2 linked regions of the Ovis aries genome follow. The protein of the gene in region 1 purifies or fractionates together with the protein of each later gene. This does not show direct contact. Links are inferred from orthologs where the notes say so. Each region holds a gene or a part of one and is shown on either strand. Other genes may lie near its edges.

Evidence for each region. Proteins that work in one complex are often made in the same cells at the same time.
Region 2: the proteins of CDK5RAP2 (region 1) and PCNT purify together in Homo sapiens (co-immunoprecipitation; 4 studies listed by BioGRID and IntAct, with this or other methods). This does not show direct contact. The link is inferred for Ovis aries from reciprocal best matches to the Homo sapiens genes CDK5RAP2 and PCNT.

The regions. Positions count from the first base shown.
Region 1 is NC_056055.1:2,934,775-2,945,423, reverse strand, and holds the start of CDK5RAP2 (CDK5 regulatory subunit-associated protein 2), read right to left. Parts: upstream 6,213-10,649; 5' UTR 6,030-6,212; coding exon 5,974-6,029; intron 1-5,973. UniProt on the Homo sapiens protein: Potential regulator of CDK5 activity via its interaction with CDK5R1. Negative regulator of centriole disengagement (licensing) which maintains centriole engagement and cohesion. Involved in regulation of mitotic spindle orientation.
Region 2 is NC_056054.1:266,841,884-266,851,460, reverse strand, and holds the end of PCNT (pericentrin), read right to left. Parts: intron 9,463-9,577; coding exon 9,230-9,462; intron 7,542-9,229; coding exon 7,465-7,541; intron 6,547-7,464; coding exon 6,417-6,546; intron 4,764-6,416; coding exon 4,636-4,763; intron 4,186-4,635; coding exon 4,142-4,185; 3' UTR 3,722-4,141; downstream 1-3,721. UniProt on the Homo sapiens protein: Integral component of the filamentous matrix of the centrosome involved in the initial establishment of organized microtubule arrays in both mitosis and meiosis. Plays a role, together with DISC1, in the microtubule network formation.

The sequences.
Region 1 (10,649 bases):
AACCCTACTCCCAGAGAAATGAAAATTTATGTCCACACAAAAACTTGTACACACATAAATGTTTATAGCAAAAGAGCCAGAAAAGCAAGAACCTAAATATCAGCAACCAATCAACGAACAGAAACGGGTACATGTTTAAAACAGAATACTCAGTCACAGCAAGGAATGAAGTCTTAACACATGCTACAACACAGAGGAGTCTCACAAAAGTCCACATATTGTAATATCTCACTTTCATGAAATGTCCAGAATAGCCAAACCTATAGACAAAAGGCAGACTGTGGTTGCCTAGGGTGCAGGAAGGGTGCAGGGGGTGGAACGGGGAGTGGTGCAGGCTAACCGTGTCCTCCGGCATTCATACGATCAGCCCAGGCCCCACCTGCGGGATGTATTAGGAGGTGAGCCTCGGGGAGGTGATTCAGACCAGATGAGGTGGAGACGGTGGCGCCCTCAGGAGTGGCGCTGGCGCCTTGAAGCGTTCCCAGGGCTCCCACCTCCTCTCTTTGCTCTCCACCACATGAGGGTACAGTGAGAAGCAGGTCCTCACCAGAACCTGACCACACCGGCACCCTGACCTCATGCTTCCAGGCGCAGGAACTGTGAGAAACCAACTTCTGATGTCAATAACGGGCTTCCCAGGCGGTGCGAGTGGTAAAGACTCCGTCTGCCAGCGCGGGAGGCAGAGGAGACGGGGCTCCAGTCCCCGGGTCAGGAAGATCCCCCGGCACAGAAAATGGCAGCCCACTCCAGTGTTCCTGCCCGGAAAACTCCATGGACAGAGAAGCCTGGCGGGCTACAGTCCATGGGGGCGCCAAGAGCTGGACACGACTGAGGATTCACGCAGGTAGTCAGTAAGTTACCCAGTCTACAGTTTTCTGTTACAGCAGCCCAAGCTAAGACTGGAAGTAAATGCTAATGGGCACAGGGTTTTCTGGATAATGAAAATGTTCTAAAATTAAGATTATGGTGATGATTGCACAACTCTGTAGATATACTAAAAAAAAAAAAAAACACTGAATAGTATATTTCAAATGGGTAAACTTTATGGCATATAAATCAGATTTCAGTAAAGCTGTTAAAAACACACAAGGCACATTTTTAATGCCAAACTGTGTTCCAACAAGCTTGTACCATTTACACTCTGCTGTGCACTTTTTCACGCAGTGATTATAAAGCAGCATTTCACTACAAAATAGGGAGCCTATATTCACGGTATTTATCTTTTCAAACAGAGACTGAACAAGATTGATTCATTCAACAAATAACTGTTGAGCCTCTACTATATATCAGACTTCGTTCCTTCTAAAGATCCAATCGGGAAGAAGCCAGACACGCTCCCTGCCCTTGCTGAGCTAACCCTGGCGACCGGGAGCATCTCCTCAAACCTCACAGCCCAGGGGTACCTCTAGTCCGAGGTCGGCCCTGGATGAAGCTTCACCAAGCCTCAGTTGGTAAGTGGCAAGCCTTCACCAGAAATTTCATTCTGCCATCCTCTTTCTCAATCTCCTTTTACAAAATCCACGAAGATATTCTTTGCCTGAGAAAGTACAAACTGTGTACAAACTTATAGGAGCCATTTTTTTGGGTCTGCCCCTAAGCAGGCAGGAGGCACTTAATGGCCATGTGCTTAAGGAACCCACAGATGAACAGGCCTGGCCAGGCCTTTGGAAACTCAGGCAGAGGCAGAATCCTTGGCATGAAACCAAAGGGGTGAACCCAGGGGAGTGGGCACAGAGGACTTTGTCCAGAAAACGGTGTAACACGGTAATAGCTAAACAAACACCAGCCAACACTGAATGTACTCCCCCATCGGTTCCAGGTGCTTAAAACATGCAACTTTGCTTCATCCACAAAGTCACCCAACAAAACAGAAACTTCACTGAAGGAAACTGAGAATTAGGACAGTTACGTGAAAACCCCAGCAACACGGCCAGCACCCCGCTGAGGCAGGACTCTGACGCAGGCGTCCTGCGCACAAAGCCCAGGTCCTTCCAACACCATCGGGCCTAATGAAAGGGCCCCAAGGACCAGGATCCAGGCCTAAACCTCACAGAGCCGGAGCTCCTGGGGTACCCACCGGTGACCGAGCCTGGAGAGGAGGACACACACTGCCCAAACTCAACAGAAGGCCAAGGACAATCCGACTTCAGTTCAGTCTCTAAAACCGGGGCCTGGAAATTACCAAGCAGAAGAGCATCCATATCAGCATAAAAAGATTCCTCATGTTCCAGGGGTTTTTCTCCTCCACTCGGACCACCTGATGGAGAAGCTGACTCTGAGGGCCAGTTCCAGCCCACAGCAGTTCCACAAAATCCTCCCAGAATCCTCTCAGATTTGGTTCAGAGAACTAGGTGAAAGGCAGGATGGGGCACCGAGAGCCAGACTTTGGAGTATGCAGGCCTGGATTTTAAATCCTGGCTTGATCATGTGCTTTTTGGTGGGATCTCAGGGTGCTCACTTCACCTCTCTGAACCTCAGTGTCCTCACCTGGAAAAAGTGAATAAAACCGTCACCTCACTGGACCATTGTTCATCCAGGGAATTAACAGACAGGTACTGAGCCCCTACCATGAGCCAGATACCAGGTTAGGAAGTCGAATTACAAAGATGGTCACAATGCAGCCCCTGTTCTCAACGCAGGTCAGAGTCGAGTCTGGGAGAAAGACAAGTTAACAGCTGTGCCTGCAGCGGCCAGCGTATGGACCGACCGAGCACCTGAGATGCGGCGCCTCTAAATCGAGAAGGGTGGTAAGTGCAAGACACACACCGGACTTCAGAGACTCAGTAAGATCAGAGAGAAAGCAAAATATCTCGTTAGCATTTATTTGACTACAAGTTAGAATGATAATATATGGAAATATTAGGTTAAATAAAACATTAACTAATTTCAGCAGTTTCTTTGTACACTTTTAATGTGGCTATTAGAAAACTTTAAATTACATACATGGCTCAAATTATATACTGATTGGACTGCATTAGTTGAAAAAATTCAGTGAAGTCATGGGACTTCTCTGGCAGGCCAGTGGTTAAGACTCCAAGCTTCCACCGCAGGGGACTTGGGTTTGACCTTTGGCCAGTGAACTAAGATCCAGCATGATATGGTCAAAAAAAGAGAAAATTCAGTGATGTCAATAAGGGCTGTGAATACATCAGTGATGGGGGACTAAAGGAGAACAGAGGGCCCAGGTGGGGAGAGGGGATGTCAGTGAAGGATTCCTGGCAGTGACATCTAAACTGAGATGTGAAAAATAAGGCAAAGCAGAGGAGAGAGGGCAATCCAGGCGGCAGGCACAGCAAGTACCCAGGCCCAGCAGCAGAAAGAACAAGGCAGGTCATTCATAACAGTTTGGCAGCCGGCAGGTGACAGGCTTGGAGAGGAAACAGGGAAGGGAGAGGGGAGGCAGGACCCTAGTGAGGTAGATGGGGCCGCAGTACAAAGGAGCTCAGAAGCCGCATTAAAGAACTTGATCCTGGGGGCAGAAAGGAGCCAGGGAGAGTCTTAAGTAGGTAAGAGATTAGCTCAGCAATGTATGCAGCACCAGGGTTACCAGCAAAGGCAGGGAGAGGAGAACAAGGAAAATGTTTGATGTTTTGCTGAGTTGCTATTCTGGGTCAGACATTGGGCTAAACTCTTTTAGACTCATCCATTTTACAGATGATGAAAACTGAGGCTCACAGAGGGTGACTTGCCCAAGGTCACATGATTGTTAAGTGTCAGAAGTGGGATGGAAACCCAGCTAGGTCTAGGCTGAAGCTCCAATACTTTGGTCACCTGATGCAAAGAGCCAACTCATCGGAAAAGACCCTGATGCTGGGAAAGACTGAGGGCATGAGGAGAAGGGGACGACAGAGGACGAGATGGTTGGATGGCGTCACCAACTCAATGGACCTGAGTTTCAGCAAGCTCCGGGAGGTGGTGATGGACAGGGAGGCCTGGTGTGCTGCAGATCAGCGGGTCTCAAAGAGGTGGACACAACTGAGCAACTGAACAAGATTCCAAAACTGGTACTGAGATGTGAAGAGCTGCCTGAGAGAGTGATGTGCCTCTTTGCAACCCCATGGACTGCAGGCCTCCAGGCTCCTCTGTCCACGGAATTTTCACAGGCAAGAACGCTAGAGTGGGTTAACCATTTCCTACTCCAGATCTTCCCCACCCAGGGATCAAACCCATAGCTCTTGAGTCTCCTGCGTTGGCAGGCAGATTCTTTGCTACTGAGCCACGTGGGAAGCCCCGAGTAATAACGGACTTTAACTTAATGGCAATGAAAGGCATTCAACATATAAAGCAGCAGACTGTGGTGATCAGATTTGTACTTTTAAAACGAGCTTTTGAGCTATAGTATAAAAGGCTATCAGAGGTGTGAAGGAAACTAGGGCAATCCAGGTGAGGGGTGATATACCACTTACCAACTGAGCTATCAGGGAAACCCACAATATACCCAGGCAGTGGCAGAAAGATGATGAGAAAGGAACATGACAAATCACCTCAGGATTCAACTAGCAGGAGCGTCAAAGGGCCTTACTCTGTGTCTGATAAAATTGTTCACTAAGTCATGTCCGACACTTTGCGACCCCATGGACTGCAGCACATCAGGCTTCCCTGTCCTTCACCATCTCCCAGAGTCTGCTCACACTCATGTTCATTGAGTCGATGATGCCATCCAACCATCTCATCCTCTGTCATCCGTATGAATGGTTTCTCTGTTGGGCTCTCAATAAACAGAGCAACCATTTGTCAGGCTTGCCCAAGACAGGACCTGTTTATGTCTGCTGCTCAGGAATAAATATTAACTGTGTCCATTCTACTCTTAAAAGCATCCAGATATGCACACAGCAAATAACATGTCACCCTCTCAGTTAGGACCAAAAGAGGCAGCCTGTTCCTGGCAGAGCTGGATAAATGCCACAGGTTCTCTGGGCTCTCCTCTGAGTCCTCCTACCCTCTCCCCAACCAGGAGCCCAGGACAAGCAAAGGGGCCCAACTCGATAGCAGTGCAGGACCTTTTCAGGCCTCCCTCCCAAGAGAGACCCCCCACCCCACCAGCAATGTGGACTCCAACTGCCTCCTGGGACAGGTTCATTCGGCCATTATCCCCCAATTTGTACTACTGCTGTTGATGACCACGACGATGGTGGTAGTGATAATGGCGGGACCAAATCATTTTTAAAGCACTGATAATATGCCAGGCTGGAGAAGGCAATGGCACCCCACTCCAGTACTCTTGCCTGGAAAATCCCATGGACGGAGAAGCCTGGTAGACTGTGGTCCATGGGGTCACGAAGAGTCAGACACGACTGAGCGACTTCCCTTTCACTTTTCACTCTCATGCATTGGAGGAGGAAATGGCAACCCACTCCAGTGTTCTTGCCTGGAGAATCCCAGGGACGGGGGAGCCTGGTGGGCTGCCGTCTATGGGGTCGCACAGAGTCGGACACGACTGGAGTGGCTTAGCAGTAGCAGAACTTGAATCAGTTCTGTTCAACTCCAGCCAAGGTTCTTAACCACTGCACCCCACGGCCTGAGTCATGGCGGCCACTATGTGACTCATAAGCAAAGTCTGGACAGACCAACTACACTCCCTACAAGGAAAGCAAACCCCCAAACCACAATGAGCCACCAAGTACCCTCAAGGTCCCCGCCCCTCAACCAGCCCTCACTAACTGCACACTCCAAGACGTTCCATCTCCCTCTCTTTCAGAAAACCCCTCACCTGTCCCTCATCTCCTCTTCAAAATATGTCCCGAAATACGAGACATGGGGGCGACGCAGGGCGGGACCCTCAACCACCTACACTCAGTTATCAGTGGGCGGGTCCCCAAAGAGACCGTCCCCGAAGAAACCCATCTCACACACTCCCCACGCCAGGAACCCTCACACCCCCTCAGAGGCAAACCTCGAGTCTCGGATGGACCGAACCCCCATCCGTGGGAACCCCGGCCCGGTTACCGCGAACCCACAAAGCCCGGGCCGCACCTGCAGCCGCTACGCGTCCCGGGGAGGGTGACGTCTTCTTCCAACACCGAGTCCATCGTGGACACAGAGGAGGTGGTGCCGCTGGTGTCTAGCGACGGCGCCACTGCTTCCCCCGCGGGATCGCGACCCGCCCGGCTCCCCAGGTCCCCGCCCCCTCCAACCCAGCTCTTGTTCGGACTCCGGCGGCGCCGCTGGAATTCAAACCGCAGCGGCCGCCATCTTTCCCGGAGCTTCTTCCTACGGAAACGAGGCGGGGTCGCCGAAGCGCGCGCGGTGAAGCCAACCGGACTGGCCAGGAGACCGGGCAGGGAAGCGCTGGCGGGGCGCCATATTAACTAAGGGCAGAGCGCCTGCACTTGTACCAGCAAGACCGAAGGAAAGAGCGTTAGGCCGCCATTTTTAGTGAGGGCACGCGGGACGAGGCTAGCGGAGGCGCCATCTTTGTTCAGGGCTGAGCCAGATTTGGGCCGTTAATTTAAGCGGGAGATGGGAATTCGGCACCTACCTTTGGGGAGCCGCATAACTCCTAACCAAGTGTATACTCCGAACCTTAGGGTCTGGGCATCCCAGAGGCTTCCGCCTTGAACTGAAACTCCGTTAATCGGTTGTGGGAGTCGCTTTAGAAAAATCCTACCTACATATTCCCAACTCGAGTAATTTGCACACTTGGTTTGAAATAGATAAGCGCATCCCTATGAGCCTAGTGGTCAGTGACACTCCTTCTCCAGCCTCAAACCTAGTTAACTTTTATTACCTGTAGGGCTCGAATAATGCACCTGGGATCAGTATGCTGCTGCTGCTAAGTCGCTTCAGTCGTGTCCGACTCTGTGCGACCCCATAGACGGCAGCCCACCAGGCTCCCCCGTCCCTGGGATTCTCTAGGCAAGAATACTGGAGTGGGTTGCCGTTTCCTTCTCTAATGCATGAAAGTGAAAGTCAAAGTGAAGTCGCTCAGTCGTGTCCGACTCTTAGCGACCCCATGGACTGCAGCCTACCAGGCTCCTCCGTCCATGGGATTTTCCAGGCAAGAGTATTGGAGTGGGGTGCCAGTGGGATCAGCATACTGAGGCCAAATGAGAGGAAAGACTCGCCTAACTGCATGCACCGGAAGTCTGTCGACAGGACACATCCGTGGCTCCTGCGGACTATCAGTATATCTGAGCTCTCTGCTAGCCCTGGCCGCCTTTCTTAAAGCACACAGCAATCACTAGATCATTTTGGCAGAGCTTGACCTGTGAAAGCAACCTTCTCCTCATCTCGGTGTTCCTACCTTCCTCTGCAGACTGTCCGGAGAGCAGAGAGCCGGATAAAAATAACTTGAAAAGATGAATGACTGGGTAGATATACCCATCCTCCTTCAGCCTCAGTTTCCTCATTCTTTCCAAAGGGGCCTTTTTAATACTCTGATCTACAGCAAACCCTTTCTTGTATTCTCAGCAATGTGTAATTTTTTCCCCTTTGTGGCACTCACCACATTTTGCAATCCCATACTTCTGTATATAATTTTTTTTCTTATGTCTTCAGCACTAGACTGGAAGTTCTGTGAGAGCGGAGACTGTTCAGAATTGTTCAAGGCTGTATCGCCAACACCCAGCAGGGGTTTAAATATATATGTTGATGAATGGTTCACTCAGTATGGAAAATGGGGCTGATATTATCCTGCAAGGTTTCTTCAAGTTATTTTATTGAAGTATCATTGATTTACAGTGCTGTGTTAGTTTCTGTTGTATACAAAGTGATTCAGTTGAATGTATGTATATATGTGTATATGTCCCCTTCTCCAAGGGATCCTCCCAACCCAGGGATCGAACCCAGGTCTCCTGCATTGCAGGCGGATTCTTTACCGTCTGAGCTACCAGGGAAGCTATGGAGATATATGGAGAAGGCAATGGCAGCCCACTCTAGTACTCTTGCCTGGAGAATCCCAGGGACGGGGGAGCCTGGTGGGCTGCCGTCTATGGGGTCGCACAGAGCGACTTAACAGCAGCAGCATATATATATGTATCTATGTATGTATGTATGTATGTATGTGTGTATGTGTATGTATGTGTGTGTATGTGTGTGTATGTGTGTGTGCATATGTGTGTATGTATGTGTGTGTGTGTATGCGTGCATGCATGTATATATGTATTTATGTATATGGGCTTCCGTGGTGGTCCAGTGGTCAAGAATCCACCTGCGAATGCAGGAGACACAAGAGACACGGTTCAATCCCAGGGGCGGGAAGATCCCCTGGAGGAGAACGTGGCAAGCCACTCCAGTATTCTTGCCTGGACAATTCCATGGACAGAGAAGCCCGCCGGAGTCACAAAGAGCCGGACACAACTGAGCATGCGTGCGTGTGTGTGCGTGTGTGTGTGTGTGTGTGCGTGTATAATATTCTTTCTCAGATTCTTGTCCATATGGTTCACCACAGGACATTGACTAGTTCCCGGTGCCATATGGCAGGACCTTGTTGTTCATCCATTCTATATATAATAGTTTGCATCTTATCCTGCAAGGTTTTTGTGACAATGTGGAGATGACCTCAGATTCCTTTACTACCTGGTCAATGGTAGTCCCATCTCTCTCCCTCCCGCAGCCCCCGCCAACTCCCTCTCTCTCTCTCTCTCTCACACACACACACACCCCCCTTAGTGAAGGCGGCAAATCACTGCCCTGTCCCGCTTCCATCCCCAGATCTTCAACCACCTCCAGAATCAGCAATAAAATAACAGTCTGAAAGAGAGTGGGCAGGAACCAGCGGGCATGCAGGGAAGGGGCAGCCCTCGATTCCCTGGAACCAACAGTCCAATAAGACGAGTGTGTCGGAAAGCAGGGGAGCTGGCGTGTCAGGATTCCTGCCGTGATTCCGCCCCTGACTTCCTGAGATCTTCGGCAGACCGCTCCTCTTCTGGGCCTCAGAAGGCTGTTAAATGGGAGGATTGGACTGGATGGCTGTCTCAAGACCTTACAGATCTAGGGAAGCTTTCTTTCTGTTGATTTCAAAGCTTCTAGTGCACAACCAGCTCTGTTCCGGTGTGGAGGGCTGAGTTGCAAATCATTACTTCCCGAATGAAGGGACTAACTTTCTGTCCGGCAGATGAAAGCTCTTGAGAAGGGAAGGAAGGCAGAGGTTGTGCACACTGTGACGTTTCTTACGCGACACCTGTGCTAGGGACATCGCAAACGGTGCTGAATCTAACACAACCACCCTCCGGGCAGGTGCTACTGTTATCCCCGTTTCACTCACAGATGGGAAGACTGAGGCTGAAAGAGGTAAAAATAACCTTCTTGAGGTCTCCCTGCTGGTAAGTGGTAAAGCTCGGATTTGAGCCCAGGTCCCTCTGAACCTTCCTGAAAACTCTAATTGTTTCAGGAAGCCTGTCCGCTCTATTTGTTTCTCTCCACTTTAGAACTTGGGATTAAGAGGTGAGGTCTACATTTAGACACTAGTATTTCAGGGATATGTCCACCAGACTCTACAACTTAGACACCTGCTTCCAGGTGGCCCCAAGATGAATCTAGGTGTGGGCAACTCAGGACCGGAAGTCTGGGTGCCGGGATCCTGACTCTGGGAGGTCGTCCAGCTTATCCTGGGGCCTGGGTCTCTTTCCCTGGCTCCTCCTTGGTTTTCCTTTGTGTAAAATGGGAGAGACCATGCTGAGCTCACATGGTTACGTTCGATACTTTGGAAACTCTAAAGAAGAAAGAGCCGGGGAGGGGTTCTCCTTATGATGAATCTACTGCCCTTTCAGCAAATGGCCATATGCCTGGCTTATGTGCTAAACGCTTCAGTGAACCTGGAAACTGAAAATAGAGCCAACTGCACAAAAGATGGGCTATTTGGGCAGTTGTTTTCTGTTCTCGTGGTCAGGGGCGAAGCCCTCTGCCCCGTCTCGTCTCCGGCTCACCATGGCCTTTCTTTCTGCCAAGCCCGGAGGTGACGTCACTACCACCAGCTGTTTGGGCTATCTGGCGCCATCTCCTTGACGACAGCCACCCAGCCACAAAGCTGGCATTATTATTTCCCTGGACAAGGTCATATCGAATGGCTGGGAGGAAGTCGCTTGCAGCCAGATGTTTCTCATTAGGGTAGAACCCTCAAGACACAGGAGCTGCCATTCCTAGCAGCAAAAATAAGGTTTCACAGCACGGATACATGCACACTGCTACTTTGCATGGGTTCATTTTCTCCTTTCAGCACTGTGAAGTAGATTAGGATGGCTGGCTGTCTTGCTCTTCAGGTTAGGAAAGTAAGGCTCAGAGAAGGGAAGAGACTTGCCAACAGCCACACTTTCTTCCTTTCTCTCTCTCTCTTTCTTAGCTTTTCATTCAGAAATAATTTCAATCTTAGAAAAAGTTGCAAAAAGAGTACAGAGATTTCCTAATATAACCATCACCCAGCTTCCTAAAACTACTAATATTTTACATAACCATAACTCAATTGTCAAACATAAGAAATTACATTGATATGATATGATTCACTACAGATTTTATTTACATTTAAGCAGTTTTCCCATTGATGCCATTTTTTTGGCCCAGGAGCCATCCAGGCTTCCATGTGGCTCTGTCCACATCTTTCATGACGCTGACACTTTAGGAAAGTTCAGCCCAGTGGTCTGGGCTCGTGTGGTGTTTCCTCGTGGTAAAACTGACGCTGTGCACTTCTGGCAAAAGTGCCGCACAAGTGACGC
Region 2 (9,577 bases), on another chromosome or scaffold:
AGGCCTGAACTAGGTTCAGTCATGCACACCTTCATATGGTCTCACCACCACCTTGCTCTCTCCCAGCTGTGCCCTTGGGGCAGCTTCTAGTGTGGAGAAGGCAAGCGGAATGCACAACTCTGACAGCCCAGGGCCAACTCACAGGTCAACCAGCAGTCATGTCTTCTTGGTGACCGCCTACAACATGTTAGACCAGTGGAGTCTATGTGCGAGTTCATCCTGCACTTTCATTGCTTTAAAGTATGCTTGCTTCTAAGGGGCAGCGTCATGTAGAACTACAGCAACGAGTAAAACATCTCCAGGTCCATAGATAGTGGTGTCAGCAGATGTACTGCAGACAGGGGAGCCGAAGCCACACTTGAACTGTGTCTGTTCCTGGTGGAACCAATCACTGCCTCCTCCGTGATGGCAGGAACCAGCTCACCACATGAAGGGCTCAGCATTGGCCTCTGCTGTTGGCAGTTCAAGCATTGAGAAGAATGCCAGGAAGAAGCCAGGAGGCCTTGGTAAGAGGTCTGGTTGCTGCCACTTGAAGAAAGAAGCTGAGTGACACCCCCAGGCAAGTCATCTTGTCCACCTTCTGCACTTCCACAGTGGGTCTTGTGGGAGGCAGGTCTCCTTACTGCCTTGTAGACATCCTTGGTACCACTTGGCAATCTTTTCTCTGTCAAGTGTTAACCAGCTGGACAATCAACTACTCAGGGAAAACTTATCAATCAGGAACTCAGATCAGTGCTCTTTCTATACACAATGGACCACAATGCACCATCCAAAGTTGGCTGATAGGAAATCTTCCACAGCCCCAAGCTGGATATGTGTGACAACTGTCTACTTTTGGTTGAGGCTAGCACTCTTGCAGATCCATCTGCAGAACAAACCTGTGCTTCCTCCTGTTCTGCCAGCTGGTCACAGGGAATGTACCCTGAAACCACAGATACAGCCTGAAGAGGAGACATGAGGTAGGAGGAAGATTCAGCACCACGAGTCTGACCACCTGCTGAGTCATTCATGTATGCCTCCAGGGTCTGTTCAGGCCAGCTCTGTGTGCACTGGTGATGGACAAGCCTCCTGTGATGAAATCCTACCCACAGTGGGATGGCAGCGGGAGGTAGAAGCTCTGGGGGGCAGATGAGGCTGTGAGGTGGAGCCCTCAGGACAGGGGTTAGTGCCTTTACAAGGGTCATGAGAGCACTCGCTCCCCATTGTGCTTTCCATCATGTGATAACACGAGGAATAGTCAGCTGTCTCCAACTCAGAAGGGGCCCTCACCAGAACCCACCCTGTCAGCACCCTGATCTTGAACCTTAAGCCTCCAGAACTCTGAGACAAAGTTCCATTGGTTATACACCGCCCAGTTTATATTTTGTCATAGCAACCTGAGCTGAGACCATACTGTTTCTGGTTTTCAGTGGAAGGCTGCTGTTTACATCTAGTTTTATTGCTTGTACTTCTCTAGCTCTTGGGGGATACAATTTTGATGGGGTCCAGAGGTGATGGCATGTCCCAGGTGCAATCATGAAAGCTTTTACCGTGAAGTTCCCTTGTCATTCTTCCTCAGTGGGCAGGGACAACTTCTCTGCCTTACCTTAGGGTCTTTGCTTATATATCATCATATCATAATAATTGGTCCTAGTGAGTAGGAAGTAGTACCCTAGATGCCTTAGATGGTGAGAGCTAAATTCTTTGAAACATCTGTGGTGTGTGGACTATCACGGTTTCCGTTCCAGAATGAAAGACAAGTAGTCAAAGACACCCTGCAGAGCCCACAACTAAGAGAGGCCCAGGCTTGGTGCATGTGGACCTTTCTGTGACCACATCTTGGCTGCTGCTCCAGCCTACTGACTGAGAAAGCCAGAGGCTGTTGGGTTTGAGTGAGACCTGGACAAAGACCTGCAGGTCTGATGCTCAGGCAAGCTTATAGCTGGCCAGGCAGAAGTGTGGGCTGCCTGGGGACTCTATGCTGACCCCAGGTAGTGTCAGAACTGTACTGCAGGACATTTGGGTGGTGATGGAGAGGTGGCGGTGAACAAGATGATGCAAGCAGGTTGAGAAGGTGAGAGTTATGGCAACAGCTCTCTAGGGTTCCCATGGAATGTCTGCTGCGAGTCCCTGTGCCCGGTCCTCTCCTGTTCTGCAGATGAACCTGCTGTTTCTGCTGGGAATCCTCTAGGGACTTCCCAAATTCCTTGCTCACCATCACTGCTTCTGACAGAAAACTCTTCTTACAGCAAAAGTACATGCTAGGCTCATGACCCCGGGATTCCTTGATGTCACCCAGGTGCAGCTCAGCTTACTGGGAAGGCCTCCCTTCTGCCGACCCACTTATGGCCATTTCTCCTGCAGCCGAATATATCAGCCTGGGGCCACAGAAGGTGGGACGTGCCCCTCTTACTGCTGTCAGACAACCCTGGGGGAGTAACTGCTTTCTATCCGTGACTCTGCTCCATCCATGGGCTCTGCTGTGCTGGTGACAGTGGTCCCTCTGAACCAGCAGGGGTGGGGGTTCCTGCATCGGCTGGTGTAAGTGACCCGGTCACTGAGGGGAAGCCTGGGGGCTGGCACAGTACGAGCACAGTGAAACCTGTACCTGTAACTTGGTATCTCCAGGGACACCTCCTGTACTCAGTACTTTCAGGTTTGACTGTGTAAGAAAGGAAGTCCTCTAGAAACAAGACTGTTGAGGGCTCAGATCTTTTAGGAAGTACAGTGCTTGTCACCCAACCAGCTCAGTGAGGCCCAGAAAACCCAGCCCATGTGATGGAAGGAAGATGTGTGGATGCAGGGCACTGCCCTTTCTACCTTACTGCTACTCTGGACATCCCTCCTACTTCCCACGTGACATCTGCCTTGCAGGAGACTGTGCCCTGGGGTCACAGTGGACACTCCTTGGCCCCTGCACCATGAAGGGGAACCTCCCCTTGGTTTTAGGATCTTCTGATGAACTTAATGTGAACTGATTATTTTAGGGCAGAACTGGAGGTTTTCTAACTGTATCTATCGCTCCCTCTATATTAATAAGCTGGTGCTTTACTATGAAGAATTTCCCTCATCAGCAGGTGTGACCTGTGTTCTTTTCAATTATCAACCCCCATGGTAACAAGTTGGTGTGATGGTGGTTATGAGCCCAGTCCCTCCCTCGTTAGCTTAACACTGATGTACATGGATATTTATTTATTCAGTATTTGATCATAAATTTCAACTGTCATTCTTCTGGACGTTGAGAGTGAAAGGCCATTTCTTGGATTCCTGCGCCTGGAGCCGGTCAAGATTTCGGCTTCAGCAACATCACACGAAGAATGAGGACTGACTGGAAAAGGTAGGATGGCTGTAGAACAGTGACCTACGGCATACTGGCCAAGCGGCAGCAAACGCACCCAAGCTGCAGACAGAGAAAAACCCATCCCAAAGACAGATAAGCAGTGGCTTAGAAGAAGCTGTGTATTGAAACCAAGCCCAGCAGAATAAACATCACGTTCAAAGGTCCTAGAAACACACTGAGATACTTGTACATATGCCTTTACAGTGGCTGTTTGGGTAAAGGACACTTGGCTGGACATCACTACCAGGTACAGGTGAGCACGAGTAAAACATAAAGAAGATCCTAATCGTGAGAAATAAATACGTCTGACAAAAATAAAATAAGAGCCCAAGCAAGGTGAGTCAACAGGCACATGGCTATTTGTCTTACCAGCGCTTTCAGAGTTTTTTTGACTGACAGGAGTTTATAAAAAAAATTCTAACTTTTATTTTTTTGCCAGTGATAAAAGTGAACTGGAGAAACGAAACAACAAAACACAGGACTATTCACAAGTACATCAGGGCTCTTTTTTTTTTTTTTTAATGTTTTTGTTTTAAACCAAGTTTCCAGCTGTACACTTTAAGAAAATAAACAGGAAGTCATCCTCTGCTTATCCTCTGTGGAGGTAGGCATGCAGGCATGACTGAAACCAAGGGGCTACCTCATCAAGATGAGAAGCTAAAATGTGCTGAATTACAAAGAAAATACCCCATTTGGCTTCACAGCAAAATGTAAGGGTGAGAACACTTAACGGATGACACGGGGCTGGCACTCAGCATGCCACAGCACAAGCTTCCCCTCAGAAAATCAAATGTCTTCCTCAAAATTGTCACAGGACTTTATTCACTGTTTAATCTTCTGGCAGCAGGACTTCTTTGAAGTGGACTCTGAACACAAAGAGAAATGAGGAAGCAATCTGTTAGAAGGCTTCACGTCTTTTAAGAGGAATTTCACAATTTCCAAACACTTCCATTGCATTAATCTTATTTTTGGTGAAAACAGAAACAGCAATCAAGAGGCACAGTAGTTTAAACTATGAGGGATGAGAAACTGAACAGACGACACCCTGTGAACACGGCGTGATGGCCGTGTGAGACGAAGGCCCGGAGGCCCATCTGGTGCTTGAGCCCGCAACCCCCACGTGGTGTGCCCTTCACCCCGCCCCAGCCCTCAGGTGCCTGCACTGGTACTTCTACCAACCCTCCTCCTGGTACTTCAGCGACGGCTGGTCAGCAGGACAGATACTGACAAGGCTGACCAGGCTGCATCCCAACCACCTCCACGACTGACCGCTCCCGAGTCTCTCGGGTCACGGGGGAAGACAGGACTTGGGTTACCTGGTGGCATGCCTCCCAGTCTTTGCTGGATCATTTCTAAGTGGTGAATATACTCTGTCAAGGAATGTTCTGGATCTTGAGAAGCAGTCAGGGATCTTTCTGATCTGGGATTTGAGGGTGGACTGGATCTTCAAACACACAAACAACCAAGGGACAAAAAAGAAGTCAACTCAGCAGACAGAATGCAGGGGTGTGACAGGCAGTGGCACCAGGACTGCACACTAGTGGGAAACGGGGTAAATGATGTTATCTTCCCATCGTTTCTTCACCACAAAGGGAAAGTATGGCTTTAAAAACAGTGCTACACTGTCCTTTAGAAACTAACTTTTTTACAAGGTCTCCAAGTATAAGATGACTAAAAGCTATTGTGTATTATTATGTATTATTTAATTCAATAAATCTTCACACACAAGTTTCTACCTAGCATTCCACCCGGTTCAGCCCAGCATCCCTCATGTGGCTGCCTTTCCTCCTGACCTCCAGTGACCATGTCACGGCCCACTGCTGCTCCCAGGGCAGCGAGCATCTTACTCACCCGAGCACCATCCACACACAAGAGGCCTTGGCCACCACTTATTCTTTCAGAGGAGCACCAGCCTGGGCCCAGGGGGGCCACAGCCGTACTGAGAGTCCCTGCCCTCCTCGAACAGAACCAGGCTTTTGGGTCCTCACAGGCTCACGTGTCTGTACGCTCTGCCTCACTCTGGGGCCATGACTTTCAAAACACATTTCTCGGAGGGACTACATGCACTGGTAGGATATGCTCAGCAGAGACACACATGAGCAGAAACACAGCCTCTAGCACAGCAGGCTGCCCGTACTTGTGGGCCTGGCTCCTCCGGTCAGGGCAGTTATGCCCAAGATTGTCACACTCTTAACACACAGTTCAAATGGAGGCGTCATCACCAACCAGAGGCCATGAAGTGAGACAGCAAACATGTTTCATCCTGCTAGCTGGGGGCAGAGGTGGACGTGTTTGCTCTGAGAGCTCCTTTCTGAGTCCCAGGAAAGCACTCGCAGAGAAAGCAGATGACACACCTGCCCGGCCCCAGTGCAGGTCCAACACCACAGATACAAACTGAGCTTTTCTACCCGCTTCATGGGTAGGTTCAAAGGCAAAAGAATGAAATAAATGACTTGTTAAATCATACTTGAGCATTTGGATACAATTATTACTACTTATGTGTCAATCTGAAGTGGAAATGGAAATCACATCTCTCTCACATGCAGCGCTTGGCTGAGAAATCTCATGGTCAGGAAACTGGGGTGCAAATCATGAAGATGATCAAGGCCGCGCATGTGACCCCACGGCTGCAGCACTTCACAGTCTCACAGAATCACAGCTCCCACCACCCCAGCCACCAGGGAAACCTTTCCTCACTTGAATTTGTAAACGGGATTACACTCTACCATTTAACTACACAGCCTAATTGAAAACCCTATTCCCCCAAATAACTTACAGATGTTTAACATTATCACTCCAACATCTCACTTGCCAAGTAAGTCATAAGTATAAAGACATATTACACATGCAAAACCCCCAAATCCCAAAGAAAAGAGATTAAGTAAAGCTAACACCAAACCCTTCCATGTGTGTGAATGAGTGTGTGCATGTGTGTGGGGGTTCACGTGCCTGGGGGCCCTTCCACTGGAGGCGGACCCGGGCACCCACACAAATCTGCCCCGGAACACTTCTGTGCAAGGCCCCATTCTCTGCAGACTTGCCCCTGCCGACAGCTAGGACCCCGTAGTGGAAAAGCAGCTGAGACTCCTCCACTCACCTTTCCCTCCTGCGTGGGGATGCTTTTGACACAGGGTCCCTGGGCTGGCTGGAAGACACATCCCGGGTGGGTGGGGATTCACGGGTGACAGGTGGAGACTGCTGCCGCCGTGGTACCAGGAATCCTTCCCCTAGGAATAGTTAACAACAAAGGGATTAAGGAAAGAGAAAAAATGCATTTTAGTAAAGGCTCATCCACCAAAATTTAAAATTTACAAGCTTTTAAGAGCCTGCATGACAATTTCTAGACATTTAAAAAGTATTCGTTATAAGGACTGTATTAAAAAAACCTCAAGAAGGAAACTGAGTTTTGAGCACCTGCATTTTGCTCCTGCAAAGGCAGTCCCTGACCATCTGCATCTGGGTGGGCAGTATCCTGGAGGAGGGCTCAGCACCCCAATGGAGAGAGGAGGGCACTGAGTGGCCTGAAGTGGATCTCCCACACCCAGCTCTGAGGAGTGAGAGACGCAGAAACCCTGGAGGCCATCAGGTTCATCAGAGGCAGGGGGTGTGGGGAAACCTCCTGAAGAACCTTGAAGCCATCTGACTTCAAGATGTGAGGATTCACACGTGGAAGTCTAAGCTGACGGGCACCACTAGGGAAGCCCAGTGGCCATGTAGGGCACTGACCACTGCAGATGGCCCAGGTGGCTTGGCTACACCCGGGCCTGGCTGGTCAGATATGGTAGCAAACAACCGCAGACTGGACGGGACTGAAACAAAGGATGCAGCCATGCTCCCTGAGTGAAGTAGAACTTCACTCCATTTAAGGAATAGAAAGACTTTTTATTGAAAATAAACTATCAGTCAATACATTCAGCATTTCTGTATCCTTCAGTCATTGCTATGCTCCTCTGAACCGCTTTCTTCATAGATATTAACTATACAAATCTGTGTTTGTTGCCCAAATAAAAACCATTTTCCTTCTAAATCCCTGCACCTCCTGACAAGTGTACTGGCTGAGTCGCTGGTTTCTCACTATGCTTTGTGTCTTCCCACCTGGCACTGAGAAGGAACCCCGATACTGAAACATGTGGGGTCAGAGGTACCTGGGCGCAGCACTTGGCCTGGGGCTAGGGCTCCTCTGCCATCTACTTGTTGCCACTTCTTAACCAAAAAGCGTAATCTACAAAAAAGGAAGAAAAACACTGAAAACCAGAGCAAAGTCGGGGTGTAAATAACCAAGAACATTTAGCCCTGACCAGACCCTGTAGTCGGAGAAGGCAATGGCACCCCACTCCAGTACTCTTGCCTGGAAAATCCCACGGACAGAGGAGCCTGGTAGGCTACAGTCCATGGGGTTGTGAAGAGTCGGACATGACTGAGACTTCACTTTCACTTTCATGCACTGGAGAAGGAAATGGCAACCCACTCCAGTACTCTTGCCTGGAGAATCCCAGGGATGGGAGCCTGGTGGGCTGCCGTCTATGGGGTCGCACAGAGTCGGACACGACTGACGTGACTTAGCAGCAGCAGACCCTGTAGTGCGAGCACAGCCCCCACCCTGGCAGTACCTCCACAGGCCCCACCCTGCCCCTCCAATCACAGCCCCGCCCCCCAGCCCCACCCAGGCAGTCGCCAGCACCTTCCCAGGCCCCGCCCCACTCCCAGCCCTTCCAATCACAGCCCCGCCCCGCCCTGTGCTCCCAGCCCCGCTCTCAGTTCCTAGCCCCGCCAGCTTGAGGTCTGTCTGGGTCGATGGCCTCTTGCTCTCTATGCATCGCTCCATTCATGGGGACCAGAGGTGAAGCAGTGTGGGGGCTCCGAGACCCTTCTCCTCGATGACCCCTGGCAGCGCCCCGATAGCACTGCTGCTGCTGGGTCCCAAGGCTGCGAAGCACCGCTGTGTACTGACCAGAAGACGGACCATCTGGCCACCCCCACCCACATGTGACCTTCTTCCTGGCCCAGGGTAGGCTCTCCAAAACTACATGACAGATGGGTTTCAGAGTGACAGTCAGGTGGGTGGACGGTCTGCCCTCAGAAGAACGCAGAGGGAAGTGCCCACCCCCACGGGGGGCTCCTAGTAGGTGTGCAGCTGAACCAGCTGGGGCGCTGCATCTCGAGGGCCTTGGGACCCCCTGACCTTCGCATACAGTCCAGGAAAGAGCCAGGGTGCCCCGCTCACCCCATGGCACCTGTTCTTGCTGACAGGTGAGTATGGCCTGGAAGAGGCACCTCCGTGGGCAACACAGAGCAGACACAGATGTACAGTTCTTAGTAGAACAGACGTTTTTAGAGATAGAGCAGATATTAAAATTATAAAACGAAATAGATTTTCATCACTGTTAATTGTGAAACAGTCAAAATTTCTTGTCGTCACACCAGGGAGTCCACCTCACTCCAAAAGTGCCTCCTGCACACACACTGGAGGCTGGGCAGGGCCAGGCAGGTGGACACTCAGAGGCAGGGGCACCCCCTGCCCACAGCGCAGGCTCAGAGCTTGTCTACAGGGAGGGCTGGAACATGCCACCTGGGGGCAGGGGGAGGGCATGTCTTCCTGTGCACATGTCGACCTTCATGTAACACAGATTTGACTAAAATATAAGAAACTGAAATGTAAAGAAGCAAAATACAGTTTTAACCATGATCAGACTGTCGTCACAAGAGCCCCGTTAAGAGGAAGGCTTAGTTTTATAATAAAAAGGCAGCCTTATACACTTCTGTCTCAGAAGGTGTAGCTCTGCACAGAGTGGTTTCCAGAAGATAAAGGTCGTTTACATTTTAAGGCCTCAAATGTCATTCATCTTAAACGAGGAAACAACTGTAGAGTTTAAAAGACCGAAGGACCTCACACCAGCAGACAGGCAGTACCTTAGGACGGCGATCACCACCCTGACGGCCGTGCGGAACCTGGTGAAGGGGCGGGACTCCGTTGCCTTCTTGTCTGCTTTGGAAGGGAACACCCCCAAGTGGGCGATCATGGACAGGGTTTCCTGTTCAGAGTCCTGGAAGCCACCGATGAGCAGCAGAAGGTACTTCTTCTGATAAATCAGGGCTTTTCTAAAGCTCTCTGCTCTCAAATAACGCAGGTACAACTTTTCCATCTAAAAGGAAAAAAACAGTGAAACTTGGTCACAGGACAAAGACATCCTCCTCAGAAGTCTCCACAGCAGAGCTGTTGCACCAAGTGCTTTAGAAGAACCAGACTTTCTCCTCAGA